Linked DNA regions of Lepisosteus oculatus. The protein of the gene in region 1 interacts with the protein of each later gene in a biochemical or structural test. Links are inferred from orthologs where the notes say so. Each region holds a gene or a part of one and is shown on either strand. Other genes may lie near its edges.

Evidence for each region. The genes of interacting proteins can lie anywhere in the genome.
Region 2: the proteins of bmpr1ba (region 1) and bmp2a form a complex in vitro, tested with the Homo sapiens proteins (3 studies listed by BioGRID and IntAct, with this or other methods). The link is inferred for Lepisosteus oculatus from reciprocal best matches to the Homo sapiens genes BMPR1B and BMP2.

What each region holds. Positions count from the first base shown.
Region 1 is NC_090698.1:13,785,453-13,793,550, forward strand, and holds the start of bmpr1ba (bone morphogenetic protein receptor type-1B), read right to left. Parts: upstream 3,009-8,098; 5' UTR 2,741-3,008; intron 1-2,740. UniProt on the Homo sapiens protein: On ligand binding, forms a receptor complex consisting of two type II and two type I transmembrane serine/threonine kinases.
Region 2 is NC_090697.1:40,822,286-40,829,797, forward strand, and holds the start of bmp2a (bone morphogenetic protein 2), read left to right. Parts: upstream 1-4,449; 5' UTR 4,450-4,885; coding exon 4,886-4,935; exon of another isoform or gene 4,936-5,192; intron 5,193-5,899; coding exon 5,900-6,264; intron 6,265-7,512. Other genes in the region: gdf3 (protein DVR-1), read left to right, coding at 822-1,104, 1,371-2,215. UniProt on the Homo sapiens protein: Growth factor of the TGF-beta superfamily that plays essential roles in many developmental processes, including cardiogenesis, neurogenesis, and osteogenesis. Induces cartilage and bone formation.

The DNA of each region.
Region 1 (8,098 bases):
ATGACCCTCACAAATGAGAGACCCTACTGCGAGTCTCTGTCACTACGGGACCCAGTTCCAGCAGTGGTATACTGTAGAAAGTTCAGTGGAGAGCACAGGGCAGGACCCACTCTTGTCACCCTTGTGGGTCTTTGCCCTCTTTTTCAGACGTCTCATACTGTAATTGCTTTTCTCGTGCGCCTCTCAACACCCCAGCTCTTAAACCTGGGAAACACGGACAAACCCCACAAACGGAATATGCAGGACGCCTCGGTGTTTGCAGGAACGAGGGTAGTCTGACGCCGTCTGCTGATGGATCTGGATGGTAAGCTGTGACAATGGCGCTAAAAACAATCCACTACATCACCTCAGGCATATTTGTCACCTGCAGACGTAATTACCGTAATGATGCGCCAATTCCATCTGCTGCAGGATCTGCCACACGACAGGCCCCGAGTCTGTTCTGTGACAAGCAGGGCCACCTCCTCACAATGAGCGATACCTGTTTCATTGTCTGCTGTGGAATGGATGTGCATACTGTACTGTAAGTACATCAAGCAGGAGGACAATAAATGCATACTGTATGTCTTCCTCAGTCACCCAAGACTCAGTCCTCCGGAGGTCTAGGATGTCTTGGAGTGGGTATAATGCTTAATGATTTGTAAAAACTGGACGTGATTTCAGCTGTTTGGACCTGATCCACATCGGAACATAAAAATCACAAACAGGACACCTAGTCCATCAGGCTGCTAGTAGGGAACTGACCTGAGGATCTCATCCTCAACAAGATGGCCTGGAAGGTTTTCTGACACACTTGCCTGCAGTTTTCACTTGTGTCCCCTGGTTTATGTGTCACTGGCGATTCTGAAGAAGTCCAGTGTTTAGACTGCCAATGCCTTTGTGGAGTCTGAATACTTGAGTCAGATCCCAAACAGTTAAATTATTCATACAAATTAACTTCTGCCCTGAAATATACTTCTGCTATCTCCCATAGGTAACACCTAAATGAAGAATGCATGTTAATAACACTAGGCAGGAACTAAATATTTTATGGTAATATATATTTCAGTTCTATTTAAGCCCTCATTCAATAATTGCATACTGTATTCTCAGTATGACAGCTAAACATACCATTGAATTGGTGGCTTAAATTGCGAAAAAAAAATACTTAACTGAAGTACATTTTTATATTTTCAATCAGACCTACAACACCTTTACGGAAATGAACATGCAGCTACTCAAGCATGATGTCATTTCAGAAAAATCAAATTTTTAACAAGATTGAGGGTGAGATCGGTCACCTTTTTTCCCCGGAAAATCATCTGCTTTCTTGCTATCTGTGCGAGAAAATGTAGGCAGCTCTCATCAGCATCGGGGAATAATTTATTCACCCAGAGATACTGTACTTTCGAAAAGGAAAAAAAAAAACAGACTAACTGCACACCACAATCATCAGACCTGCCCCTGCTTATGAAATGTGGAACACACTCTCTAGCAGTGTATTTAGGATTTTAAAATCTAAAAGACGTCGTTTTGTAAAACAAGTTTTAAAGGCACCGAAACGTTTTAATATGTCACATTTACATGTAAGTACAAAGGTGATACGTCCTTTCAGCTGTATAAAATACCTAATAGCTATCGATATTTGCGCCCGGTACCTTAAAGTTTATAAACAAATTAGGTTTACCCGTTTGTTTGTTAAACTATACCCATTTGTCAATGATATCTCTTCTACGTGTATTGAACATGCGTTTTTTCAGTGTGTACACAAGTGTATCGAAATCTCCTGAGCAAAGGGGAAGTTAAGATGTTCCAGTGAATGCACACATGATAAATGTTGCTCCACTGCTCACGTTTGCAATCCTATGGTCGATTACAGGACATAGAGTCGAAAGTTTGTCAATCTTCTGACAGAAAAACGTCATTCTGAAGTGTCACACTGAGTGTAAAAGAACAAAAAAAAATACAGCCTATACAGTATGTCGTTTGCTTTATTTTCGCCAAACTGGCCATTTAGTAGACAATTCATGGGGAACACATTCAAAGGCGTAAATATGCTTAACATTCTCTAAAAAAAACTGTTTCTGCGCCTCCTTTCCAAAGCAGCGCTTCTTTCGTGCAGTTTCATAAATAGCTTTTAATATTCAAACAGACGCTTAATTCCCCATGAATTCCAAACTAACAATGCCAAAAACGTTTCGTGTGTCTATCCTCAACATTCACAAAGTTGTGTTTCTATTGATTTGCACTGCAGGGCATTAAGAGATACTCGCAGGTTGTAGTAATCTCATCTCTACATTCGCAGATGGCAGAGCATCGTGCCTTCTCCGAAAATGCATAAACTTTGCTAACAACGAAAAAACTAAAATGGTTAGATTAAACAAGCCTTGACGAAAATCTGGGAAAAAAGCCCTAGAGACAGAAAACTAAAGTTTTCACATACCGGACAATATCTGTATTGCTTACCTCTGGCTTTCTTTCAAGACTCAGTGCGGTATACTATCGGCTTTTTTTCTCATGCGTTTTGTCTAAACTTATTTAGTAAGATCAAAAGGGTACAATGAGATTTCCATGACTGCCTTTTGGATCGCCTTTTGAGAACGAGTTAAAAAAAACAACGTAAACACAACGTTAAGTAATAAAAACACTGTTCGGTTGAAGTGAGCTCCACGGAATCAAAATCCTCCTGTTTTCATCGCAGGAACACAGCACGTTTTCCTTTCCAAGTAACTGGGAATTTTAACTGTTCTGTCATTCTTACCTTCTCCGGTAGGCCGACTCAGACTATGGGCTGCACTCTTCGATCCTAAATACGCAGTTGTTGTTGTTGTTGTTGTTGTTGTTTCCCAAAAAATAAATCAATAGTGATACTGATAGAACCTACGGTACGGGACTCTTAACGTTTCACTTTCCCCGTCAACAGTCCGGTGCTAGCTTTCTGCGTCTTTGCCTTCTTTGCTCTCCGAGTGTCTGCAGCACCCACTAGTGACCTCACCGAGCTCGGAGCAGCGCTTCACGGATAGGTATGGAGCTTACACAGCACCGACTGCACAATTCAGCCGCCCTTGGACTACTTTATGCAAGGCATTGCTTGCTACGAGCCTGGCACAAAGGATTCTACTGTACGTAACCGTTTGTGGAATGGATGTTCCCAATCTACGGATCTACATTTGTCCTCGCCTTTGGTATTTTAAGGATTGCTGGAAAACATTTTCACTCACACACTGAAATTCTCCAGTATTTCTTCGGAACTTTGAAGGTGATTCAAAGTCGTCCACCTAAAGAGTAGAGTTATTACTGTACTGTACTGTACATGTATATATAGAAAATTAAAAGCCAATCCGTTATGTAAAGATCATCCTTCTTACCTGTTGAGTATATTGTCTAAATAGCACAGTAACTGAATCTGTCCAAGGAAAACCAGACAGAATAAAATACTAGTTGAACAGCGATATGAGATGATGCTGCAGGGTTCAGTAAAACTGCACTGGCCAGACCATTAAACAGATTAATTCGCTTTGATTTTGTTAGACCAATAAATAGTGAATCATCTGTTACAGAAATGACTTTTTCAAAGACTCATTACAAATATCCATTACCAATAAAATACCTTAAAATATTTTTCAGGAATTTCCATATTGGCTAGTTGTTATTATTTTCATTTAAAACCACAGTTGAATAAAAAAGAAAAGCTCAGGCTCCCTTGCAAATCTGTGTTGGATAAAGCAGTTAGTACTGTAAGTGGATGGGTGGCTGAATGGATGGAGAATAAAAATTCACCTGGTTGAAGTCAAAATTCCTCAAGTGGAGTTTTCCCATACAGCAGTTTGAAGGGGGATAAATAACGAGTGGAGGTCATTCATCAACTTTTATCTGTTAACCATTTACACTCAGCTGGCTCCTGAGGTTTGTCGTCCAAATAAATAAATCCCAGAGTTGTTAGGCACTGTACAGTAGTTCATCACAAACACACGAACCCTGTGCCTGTTATTTCCAATAGAGTCCATAATGGACCAATAACAGGCACAGGTGTTCCCAGTCCTTAGAGGTGATGGATTTAAGAAGACCTACTGTGCAGTATATACAATAAATCTTTCTGGATCCAGGACCAGGGTTAGAAGTCTTTGCTCTCTGTACAGTACGTTCAGGCCAGTGCTCTGCAGCGGTGGTAGGGAGAGCCCCAACCTGGCTCTGGTTCTGAAGTAATGTAGAGATCATTTAACAAAAAAATATAACATTCTTCAGCCCGCAAGGACAAGTGTCCCCAATACTGAAAGAAAAATTGCTTAATTGATCAAACACCTGTTACAAGTGTTTAAATAAGAGGTTTATAGGATGACCTTCAAGAATAACTAGATATTGGCTCCAACCCTGATCCCGCCCAGTGGGACCCCTGTAAACTGCTGCTTTTTTTCCTGACTGAACTGTCTATCACTTGATGGTTGCTTCTTTAGACTTTTGTGTCTCTGTTTCTGCATTAGCAGCCACCCAGGCCCCATAACCTCAGGACACTTTGAGAGAGAGTAGGATTTTGAAATTGACCTGGAACCGAAATTAATTAATAGGTTAATTGAGCGATGCATCTTTAAAACATTGATATTGCTTATTAATTACAATTCTCCTACAAACAGTGCTGTGGGATCTTTAAAGACCAAGTACCCAGGGCCTTAGTTTAACATCTCATCCAAATACACGCTCATATGACAGTAGTCAGTATTCTATGAAACTGTTTTTTTTTTTAAATTCAGATCCAGAGGGAAGATGCCTCCTACTGGTCCACCACCAACACTTACAACAGGAAACTGGAACTCCTTTGAGGATACTGGCCTAGTACTAACCAGATCCCTCTATTCTGAGTTCCTGAGATCTGATCAGACCAAGCTTCAAGGTGCGAATGCCACTGTTATAAACTGAAGATACAGGAACTTTTCATTGCAGAACAGACTGCTCTGACTGATGAAAGTTAGACAAGGCTGGGGAAGTGAGACAACTGTCACACTAGTGGAATCATTTTTCTGCATTTTCTTCTATGATTCTTTATGTGCCAAGAAGGAGACTTAGGTAGACAATAAACCAACTACTGAGGGTGAATGTTTTTGCAAAAGATTGCGTTCATGTTTGTGAAGATCTTTTTTTATCATGCATCATTTCCTAACCAATCGCCACTGTGATAGTCCCTAAGGTTGTTAAGTGTTGTTTCCTCCATTCACTCTTTGGCTATGACAGACAGATAGTGGCTGCTGTATCTCCCAGGACAAAGACAAACCTCTACTTCTCATAATCCAGATACCCAAGAGAGGAACTAGTACAGGTGCTCTCAGATTCTATTCAGGTGATTCATCAAGATCTAAAATGCCTGGGCAACACAGTTTCTTAATTTGTGTGTGAATGAATTTTACAACATCTTTAAAAACAAAAAAGGTGGTTTAAAAGTGTGTAAGTTAACAAAAAAGTAACACATTCCCCAATAAATGGAGTTTTAAAAACAATTTGGGCAGCAGCATTGCAACAATGTCAATCAAGCTGGTATTACTTAAGGTCCTCGAACTTCCCTGTACAGCAGATTTACATTTTTTCTTTAAACGATTTGTGTAAAAAAGTTTTGTCCCACCTTTTGCACATAACCAGTAGAAAGTAGGGTAGGGTAAAAAAGAATCAATATGAAAACAAGGTGATGGACAGGTTGAAACAACCTCAACATCAAAACAAGACCTGACCCGGGCTCAAACTCGTGTCCAGATGTGGCACATGAGACAGGCAATGTTCTTAGAAGTCAAACGGGCAGTGGAAGACTGAAGCAGAAACATGATCACCTGCATAGATTACTAAACCTGTTTATTTGTAATTCCCCGTGTGCAAAAAAGCTGATCACGTTAGTCCTACTTTTTGAATTGACAGACAAGGACATTTTCTTGATATACTGCTCATATAATGTGCTGAAGAAAGCAATTAAAATAATTGCCCAGAATTCTGAAGAGAACCCTACTGCTAGTAAGATTCTCTGTGGAAAAACATGAAGACATGCAGTTCAAAATGCCTCATGACAACAAGGACCTTTGTTTTATTTGTGTTTTTAAAAGAGTTCCACCAGGCCGATACCTTTTTTGAAGAGTGCATAACTTTATTGCTGGAATGGTGAAAGCTTACAGAGACTTGGGAGATAAAAGAGTTTTTGAAAATAAAGCATTTTCAGGAACACAGTAAGGACAGTTCTAGAGACGGAGAGGGCAACTGTGGTTCAGATCATGGGACAAAACATGGTAAATTCTTTTGGAGAAATTGTTTCCTCTGCTTTTTTTAAATAATCACTTAAACATGGTTTTTAATCAGGCAAAGCCATCAGGGAATATTTCAGTTCAACAGCACTGCAAACACAAAACCGCAAGTTCCGTACTGTAATAGTTATTTATTTTATGAATATCAGGACAACGGAAAAGCCACAAAGAGAGGAGGACATTCAGCACATTATTTACGATCTTTAAGTAGAAAAACTATCCACTATTTTAAAACTAACACAAAGTTTTGTGATGGTGTCTCAAACACTTGCACTAATATGAGACACACCCTCGGACATTCAATTTCTGGTGCCACTTCAGGGTGGAAAAGCTCTTTGTCTGATGGTTTTATCCAAATAGACGTACATTGTATCCATTTATACACCTAGCCACATTACTTGAGCAATCACAGTAACAAAATTTGGTCAAGGGGAGTGTAGCAGTAGTGGTTCATCTAGCATTGGAGCCTCCCATATGCAAGTCTAGAGCCCTGAACACTCCTCCACACTGCCACCTGAACAGGAACCAACAGGTAACAAAAGACAAGCTGGCAGAATCAAAGGCCTGTGAAAGGATTGCCACTCTTGTTTTGAACTCTTCTTGTTTGCAAAAAACAAACAGACAAAATGTACTTTTGTCTGCAGATCACTCTATCCCCCCCGTCACTGCCTCCTGTTATTGAGACTGCAAATGTTGCACATCTGTTGAAAATTATTTGGGACATCCAAGTTATTTGTTGTTGATGTTTTTTTCCCTCTTGTTTTCAATTTACTCATAATTTAAAGAAAGAAAATACAGCTTTTCCTCCCACAGATAAAAAATACTCATAACACCCCTTTTGTATAACATTTAAGTGAACAGGTCACACATCATTGAAGAATTCCAACTATTTAACACTTTATATGAACATTTGTCTACAGGTATATATGAACATTGACTCATCCTTTGTATGCTCTTATAAGAAAAAAAACATTGATTTTAAGAAAACATTTTACTGTCCTACAAATGGTAGAATTATTGGCACCCTATCTAATGTTTCTTTTGAGCTCAAAAGCATCTTTTAACTTTTCATGAAAACCAAAGGTTGTGCAACCATTTCCAATGTAGTTTTCATGTGCATATACTGCACTTAATAGCAGCAAAAGCAAAAGTTTGTATTTGGCTTTGGAATATCAGAACTGTAGGAAAAACAGAGCTAAAAATAAAAGACATAAAAGAAAACCAGTAAATGCACAACTGCTACTAATCTAAAGTTAACAGATCTTAACTTGTCCATTCATCTAAAATATACAAAAAACACCCACGTGCATCCCTTGAAGCCTCAATAAATATACAATCGATACATTTATATTCAGTTAGTGACCTAAGCTGAATTTCAGTGTGAATAGCACAACAAATTTTGCAACACATGAATAACTCAGTCCAAATGTGCTCTATGGGTTTCTGTCACCTCCATTTTCTTTACATTTTTATTCTGCTTGAAAAATCTGACTAGCAATGGGGAAGAAAGGAAAGATTTCCAGCACTGTGTGGACAATTTAGACAGCCCTGTTTCTTTCTGATAAAAACATTAAGCTCATGAATCTACAACAAAAGCCTTTTACTTTTGAGTTCAGACAGTCAATACCTTTTTCTGTTTTTTACACAATCACATTCAAGAAAAATACTTACAATATCTTCCAAAGGTTTTCCAATTCATGTGTACTACAAAACCAGGTTCACTCAGTTTATTATAGAAGCCTGCCTGCTGGACACAGTTGGCTCTGTGTTAAGCTGTGATCTACTGTACACTTCCTGACCTCCTGTGAAATCTTTGGTCAGACTGAACCTTCCAGGCATTGCTC
Region 2 (7,512 bases), on another chromosome or scaffold:
CGCTTACAAGATGAAGGATAAGCATACAAATTGCAATCAACAGTGCGAATCTAAAACTCTTTGTACCCAACGTACCCAAATAGTACATCCCTCCTACGTTGGGGTTTGACTTTTAAAAATAAAAGGCTAGTATTTGATGAACGTGAATATGGAAACATGAGTTTTATGCATAATTAAGAATTATAGAATATATGGTTTTTACTGTGTCGACACATTCAGCAATAGCAGGAGGAAGAGAGTTAAGACCTCGACTTTTCAAAGCAGGGAAATTTCAAACCAACCATTTTTAGCCTGTAATTATTTAAATATGACCCATTGTCACATGAACTAGATTCCGTGGTCCAAAGCGCTATTTTACACACCCTATTGCTTTATCCGGAGCTACATCTTACCGGAACTTGATGTGGCTAGTAGCGGGTTTGTTCGGGTATTAGGCCTACAACCTTACAAAAACACGGCCATTCCCACAGTATTTTACATTATCTTGTTACTGAAAAAAACTCCCGCTGGAGTTTCAGTTGAGAACAAAAGTGCTCCACTAGCACAAAGGGGGGGTTAATTAGATTCCACTTGCATGTTCACAGCTTTTTGTAAACCCCGAGGTGTGCGTTCTCCCGTTGTACATTGTAGGACTACTGATTGACAATTGAATATAGCCAATAGAACACAAGATTTTATCCTGCAATTAACACCTCTTAATCAATCTCCTGCAAACGCCGTTGGTTTGACTTAGTTTTTATCGGGAACACATGGGTGAAACAGTTAACTCTGTTTTTTTTTCATAACCTCATTCGGTTTAAAGAAACCTTAAGAAATACAGTATGTACGTTGTAATTTTAAAAGCTATAGTTCTTACGTTCTTTCTTGGTTTTTGCTACGGAGGCAAGTCTGAAGATTTGAGAAAACAAGAAAAGTGGTTTCTGAATTCATTGGGTCTTTCTAGCCGCCCAAAGCCTTCAGACAATTTAGCAGTACCTTCCTTATTATGGAAAATGTTCAAGACAAAGACGAGCTCCAAGCCATCCCTTGAAGCAGAAAATGATTCCTGCAGGATATCAGAATTCGATGTCCGTGGAAATATCGTGCGATTTATTCAGGACCAAGGTATTTTCTCACTTCTTGTTGCAATGTGAATGTCGTATAACCTGCACTGTATTATGTTTACTATTTTCGTCATTCCTTATTTAAAAGATCGACGTTATTGTTTCAAAAAACGTTAAATAGTTGTTTAATTTTGATATGTTCATATTTATTACCCTATCTATGTAAGAGTCTTTTGAGGAATTTCATTAATCATTTTAACATGACTTTGATAATTGTATGTTTTGCTGCAATTTACGCTGATAAACGTTGTTGTTGTTTTTTTGTAGGTAGAGTAATTTCTGGATCAAGCCGCCAGTGTTCAACGTGTGTAGAAAAGCACATTTACTTCAATGTTTCTGTGCTTGAAGAGGTTGAGAAGCTCACGTTGGCTCAGCTGGAAATAAAATTCAACCAGAATTTACGTCGATTCTCGATAAATCCACCCATATTCATTATCTCACTATACAAAGTTCAGAAGACAGCATTGAAAGGAATGTCGCGCAAATCCAATCGGAAGCTGCTGCTGTCACAGACTTTTCAACTTGTTCCTGGATCCATCACGTTGGACTTGACGGCTGTCGCAGAGGCCTGGAGAAAACCCGATAAAAACTATGGGCTTGTTCTTGCTATTCATCCCAGTGATCCAAGTAACGGCATGGACCCTTTTAAATTGCCGAATTCAGGAAATGACATTGGGCATAATTTTATTGGAACTCTACCTCAGTTTTACACGTCACTGATCGTTGTTTCTTTGAACCCCCATCAGTGCAGATCTAGAATAAAAAGAAGTGCCTATTATCTGCCTGTAACTCCTAGCAACATTTGTAAACCAAGGCGACTGTACATTGATTTCAAGGATGTAGGTTGGCAAGATTGGATAATTGCTCCTCAGGGGTACATGGCTAATTATTGTCATGGAGAATGCCCATTTCCCTTAAGTGAAAGTCTTAATGGTACTAACCACGCAATTTTACAAACTCTACTCCATTCCTTCGACCCAAATGGTACCCCTCAACCTTGCTGTGTTCCTATTAAATTGTCTCCTATTTCAATGCTGTACTATGATAACAACGACAATGTTGTATTAAGGCATTACGAAGATATGATAGTGGATGAGTGTGGATGCAGGTAATTCATACAATGTAACGTTTTGAATTTAGATTAACAATTTTTAACAAGTTAACCTACTTCTAAATACAGAATATCGCATGGTTAGCGTTTATCACGGATAAAACGGGATCGATCAAGATTGATTATTTTTATTAATATTGTAATAATCAAGAACTCCCGAAATCAAACTATTGGGTCTGAATATCTTATTTTACCTGATAAAAGTTTTAAATTAGCAATTGACAATTTAATCTTATCTTAACAGCCTCTGTAAATCGTTTTTCTGAATTGTAAAGTAGATATGATTACAGACCAAAACATAACTACATTTATATTTTTTTTTTCTCTGCTTCCATTTAAAAGAGGTGCTGAATAAAGTGACATAAAAAGTGAAGTAATACCGGCGTCAGAAGTTGTTTTTAGTAGTTGATGGTGACTGGCTAGGTCACAAAACCTAATTAAAAAAAATAGGTTTCAAAATTTGAATCCTTTAAATGCGAACTAAGCAGTCAGATGGTTTTCATCTTAACAGTCAAATTGTATCTCCCTGAAAATAATTAGTTCTGCCATTAGGTAGGCCTATGTTTTGCCCCAATGCTACTTTTTATTCATTTGTGACTGAAAGGAAAGGAGAGGAGATCTTCCCATTTCTCTAAGAGAAGATCTTGATTAAATGTGCCGAATCTGGTCCACTGGTTCACAGTTTCCTCAACGTAGGTAAAGCAGCTGAATTAACTTCACAGCCTGTCTTTATTCTGCGCGTTTTCGTTAAGTGTGTATTACCTGTCTGTATTGCTCTTATCCATTCTTAAAACCCTTTACTTAAATAAGTATGGGTGCTCTTGAGGTATGTTTACTGTATTTTATTACAGTTTGCTAATACATTCGTTATTTGGTCAGTTTTAAAGAATTTGAATTCAAAGTCAATAAACTTTAAAGCTCTAATACATCGTTGTTATTCCTCTTGATGTTTCTGTGACTGCAGTAATTTAAATATGTAAAGGTATGCATGCATGTGCTTTCCTTGTTCAGTTTTAACAAGCTTTTGCTAACTACCGGTATTCTACACGTCCATGGTGGGGGGGAGGATCGGGGGGCGAAGCAGTAGCAGTTCCGAGGATAATCCGATTTGTGTAATGCGAGACTCAAATTATTTTACTTTTTATCTGAGAAAAATATACAATGAATCTTTGTTTAATACACATGTGATCACACTTTTTAAATCTCTCCACAAGTTGGCGCACTGTATCTAATTTTGACATTTCCTTTCAGATTCTTACAATTTTGAACTCCCTGTAAACAGCGTTGCAAACGTCTATATATGTTAACTTTGTTGAGTTTTTAACACTTTACAGAAACGAAAAACAAATCCGCAACATAACGAATGGTTCTTTACAGGGGACAACCACACAACAGAGAAAAAAAAAAACATTTCTCAGTCTTAACACCGTTTCGTAAATGTTCAGTCGTATCACCCACGAGGAAAGAGTCTATTTCGTCCACTGTAAATTAATGTTATGATTTCTTATAACCCAGATGTTTTTCTTTTGTTACTTAATAAAAGATAATTTTGCAGTTTTGCTGTGCCATGTTTTGATCGAATTTGTGCTTAGTTTCGAAGGACCTTTTCTCTCGGTAAAGAAATGTTGTGGTCTGGAAAAGAACAACTGAATTTATATATTTATACACTAAACATTGGCTTTACAGTTAACATACATAGGCTTTTTTGTGATATTAAAAATAGCTTTAAGAATATTCTAGGAAACATTTAATCTAGTACAGTTTATGCAATATAATTACAATGTGTAATTTTCTCTGATTTGAATTGATATTGCCATTTTCATTTTTTATATTGTATTTATAATTTAAAGTAAAGTTGCTTTACTCAAGTGGTAATTATCCATGTGTAACCTCGCAAGTGATTAGGATTTTGAACTTTTTAATAAAAACTTAGAAGTTGCATAGTTTATTTGGATCTAGAAGGGATATCCATAGTCTTTGTCAGTTTCAAAGTCTTGCTTGATAACAAGCCTTAAAAACTTCCTAAACTGACAAAATTCAGCAGATTAAAAATCCGTTCGCAGATACAGAACTTCTTTAACCTTATGTAGAGCTTCAGGACTAGAATTTACTCCAACAAGTACAGGAGGTGCCTTTGGTGCATGATTGACAGGCTTGTGGTAGTGACATCACTGAGCAACAAAAGGACGCATAAAAAAAAGCTTCTATCAATTGTACTGAACCATTGCACGCTAAATCGGGGAGACGCTCCGAAAGTTATCTTTGTAGTTTGTAATGAGCGGCAGTATACCCTACCGTAAAACTCCCGTAACTTTAATTTTACTGTTGTTTTAATGATTATCAAAGATGACACCTTAAGGAATTAGGTTTTGCCTATTTGTATTTACGTTTTTTCTGGTTAATCTCAAGTGATATTTTCGTATCAGTAATCTGACTCGATTCTTTCTCGCCTGCCGACTTCACAGCTGCTGAGAATATGTGTAAGAAGAGGCGGGCTGTACTGTGGAGGCTTTCTGTTTTCTGCAGAATAGCTGTGTGGAATAACACTAAGTAATGTGGAAAATATCGGACTACAAAGCAGGAAAACCAGCGATCGGACAGAGCACTTCCTTATAGGTAACTGCAGACTTAAAAAACACCTTTGGTTGGTCCACAGGGAATCGGATCCGTAATGGGGAGAAGTAAAGATACCACCATCAACAGTGTACTTCCTAATCAATCGTGAGTTTAATTTTACCTGGACTTTATCCTGAGAGCTGCACTTGTAAAGAAAACACCTATAAGGAAGGTTGAAAAGGGCAGGCAAAAGAGGACGCTGATTATGACCACGAAAGATCCAGCCAGAAGGCATTGGCTTCTGTTTTAAAAAGGAGTGCATTCGGGATATATACGCATATTTCTGGGTTTTTTTCCATGTGGAAACTGTTTCAATGGACGTGTCAGAGAGTGCTTCTTAGTCGATCACCACTTTCTTAAAGGTAGTTGTTTTTGCTTTTTGTTTTTCGCCTTTGATTTGTGGTGGCCAGTGGAAGCACGTTAGATTTAACACCTGTGTGGCTGTCTCTCAGTAACTCTATGATCTAATCCTATTCCAGACACAACACCTTCACGTAAACAGCTTCAACAACTACACACGTGTAACACTCCTTTTCAGTATTGTTCTTTCCCTTCACTCGCCATAGCTATTTATCTTTTTGATCGCTATATTCTTTTATGATTCTTGCATTTTTTTAAGCTTATAAAGACGATTCCTGTCTTTTCATTTTTTGAGTCTTATCTTTGCGCAGTTGCGCCTTCTTGTCTGCCTTCTTTTCCTCCTTCTCATTCATCTCCTTTGATTTTTTTAAAACCGTTTTATCTTTTTAGTTAAATCGACTGTGTTCTTTTATATACCCCCTCCCTTATTGCGTGTTTAACCTATGCCCCTTTATTATGTTCTTATCAGTCTCCCATTTTATTTATCGTGGCCAGCGGGAATATCATTTCCAAAATTTGTTTTTGTTCCTCACATCAAAGTATAATGTCTTTTAACATGCTTGCTTTAAATTCTTCCTCTGGAAAGAAAACATTTTACTGTTCGCATGGCCATATCTTGTGGTAAACATTTTTTACTTAAACTATCAATACCGTACATGTGATAACAACACTCAGGTACTGACACACCGCTTTTTTCTCTCCGGCACAGATTGATCATGGTCGCCGGGGTCCGTGCTCTCATGGTGCTGCTGCTCTGTCAGGTGTTGCTCGGAGGTTCGGTCGGACTTATTCCGGAGGTTGGCCGAAGGAAGTTCAGCGAATCGTCTCGGCAAAGCACGCAGCAATCGGAGGACGTTCTTAACGAATTCGAGCTTCGCCTCCTTAATATGTTTGGACTGAAGCGCAGACCAACTCCAAGCAAGCTTGCGGTGGTCCCGCAGTACATGGTGGACCTCTATCACATGCATTCAGGGAATGGAGATCAGGACCCCAACCGCTCCAGATCAGTGCTGGGCCAGTATTCGGAAAGGTCTGCCAGCAGAGCGAATACAATTAGGAGTTTTCACCATGAAGGTAAGAGTTTCTCCCCGAAGAAGAGTTCTTTTTTTGTCTTAAACAGGAGGTACCTAGGGTAATGGATGTCACATTATCTTAAACACATTTCATTTACTTTGGGTGATTTCGAAAGCACTTTAAACAGAACGGGTTATATGAAATTTCTGTATGTGTCGATTTAAAACTGTTTAATGCCAAGCTTCGTCTTCAACAGGTATGACATTACTTTCGCTCACTGGAAATGTTCTTTTGTAGCCTCTGCTTACTTAAATTGAACATTGTAAATGACCGAAAACTGGTATGTAACTTGTGATATCCAAATTTGTAAATATTCATGGACAGTTTGCAATGTACGGTTGGTTTCAGCGAGTGCTAAAAGTAACGATGGAGTTAGATATCTCGATACAAATATCAACCCTTGATTTGTCTTAGTGTAAAAAGATTGATAATACATACTCATTGTATGTATCTAGCCTTTCATGTATTCTAGTAATTTAAAATCGGTAATTTAGCATAGAAGAAAATGTGGAAGGACATTTTAAAGGTTTTACATTTTTAGATTCAAGAGGTTATCTGATAAAGCACGTTTCTAAAGAAAAGTTGATCTAAAAGATATATAATGTTTTATAGGAAACTATTTAGTTCCATAGTAAAATGACATAAACCTTTAACAGATGCATTCTTTTTAATCATGGTTACTAATGAATGGGCATCTCAATGCTACTTTGCACACTTTAAGTAAGCAATGTCAAAGGAAATAGATTACTTGCACCAATATTTTAACATTTAACATTGACTGTCTGACCTCTTCACATATTGCATAAGACTGGTACCAGCCGATGGGTGGTTCTCAGCCTTGCTTCTAACAGGTACTTGAATTATTAATGTTGTTTCTGTACAGGTTCTGAAAACAATTTTCTCCTACACGAACGGTTTGTTGAGTATCAAATGTTCAGGTCAGGCAACAGTGTACCCGGAGTGTTGTTCACTCATTGTGCGTACACAGCTTAGTTTTCCTTTGATTTGATTTCAGTACATTAATGCTGCATTTGTTTGACAATTTCAGATTTTTCTTTATAAATGTGACAAAACTTTTAACAGAAGCCAACGGAACACAATGGATTGAGACCACAGAACCAATTATTTATTTTAAATGTGTACATAAATACATAATGTTTGTTTTTGTTAGTTCTTTTCTAGACCATACCTTTGTGTGGCAGGTGCTTCTTTTATTCAGTCATTGGTGATACACAGCCACCTCTTTTG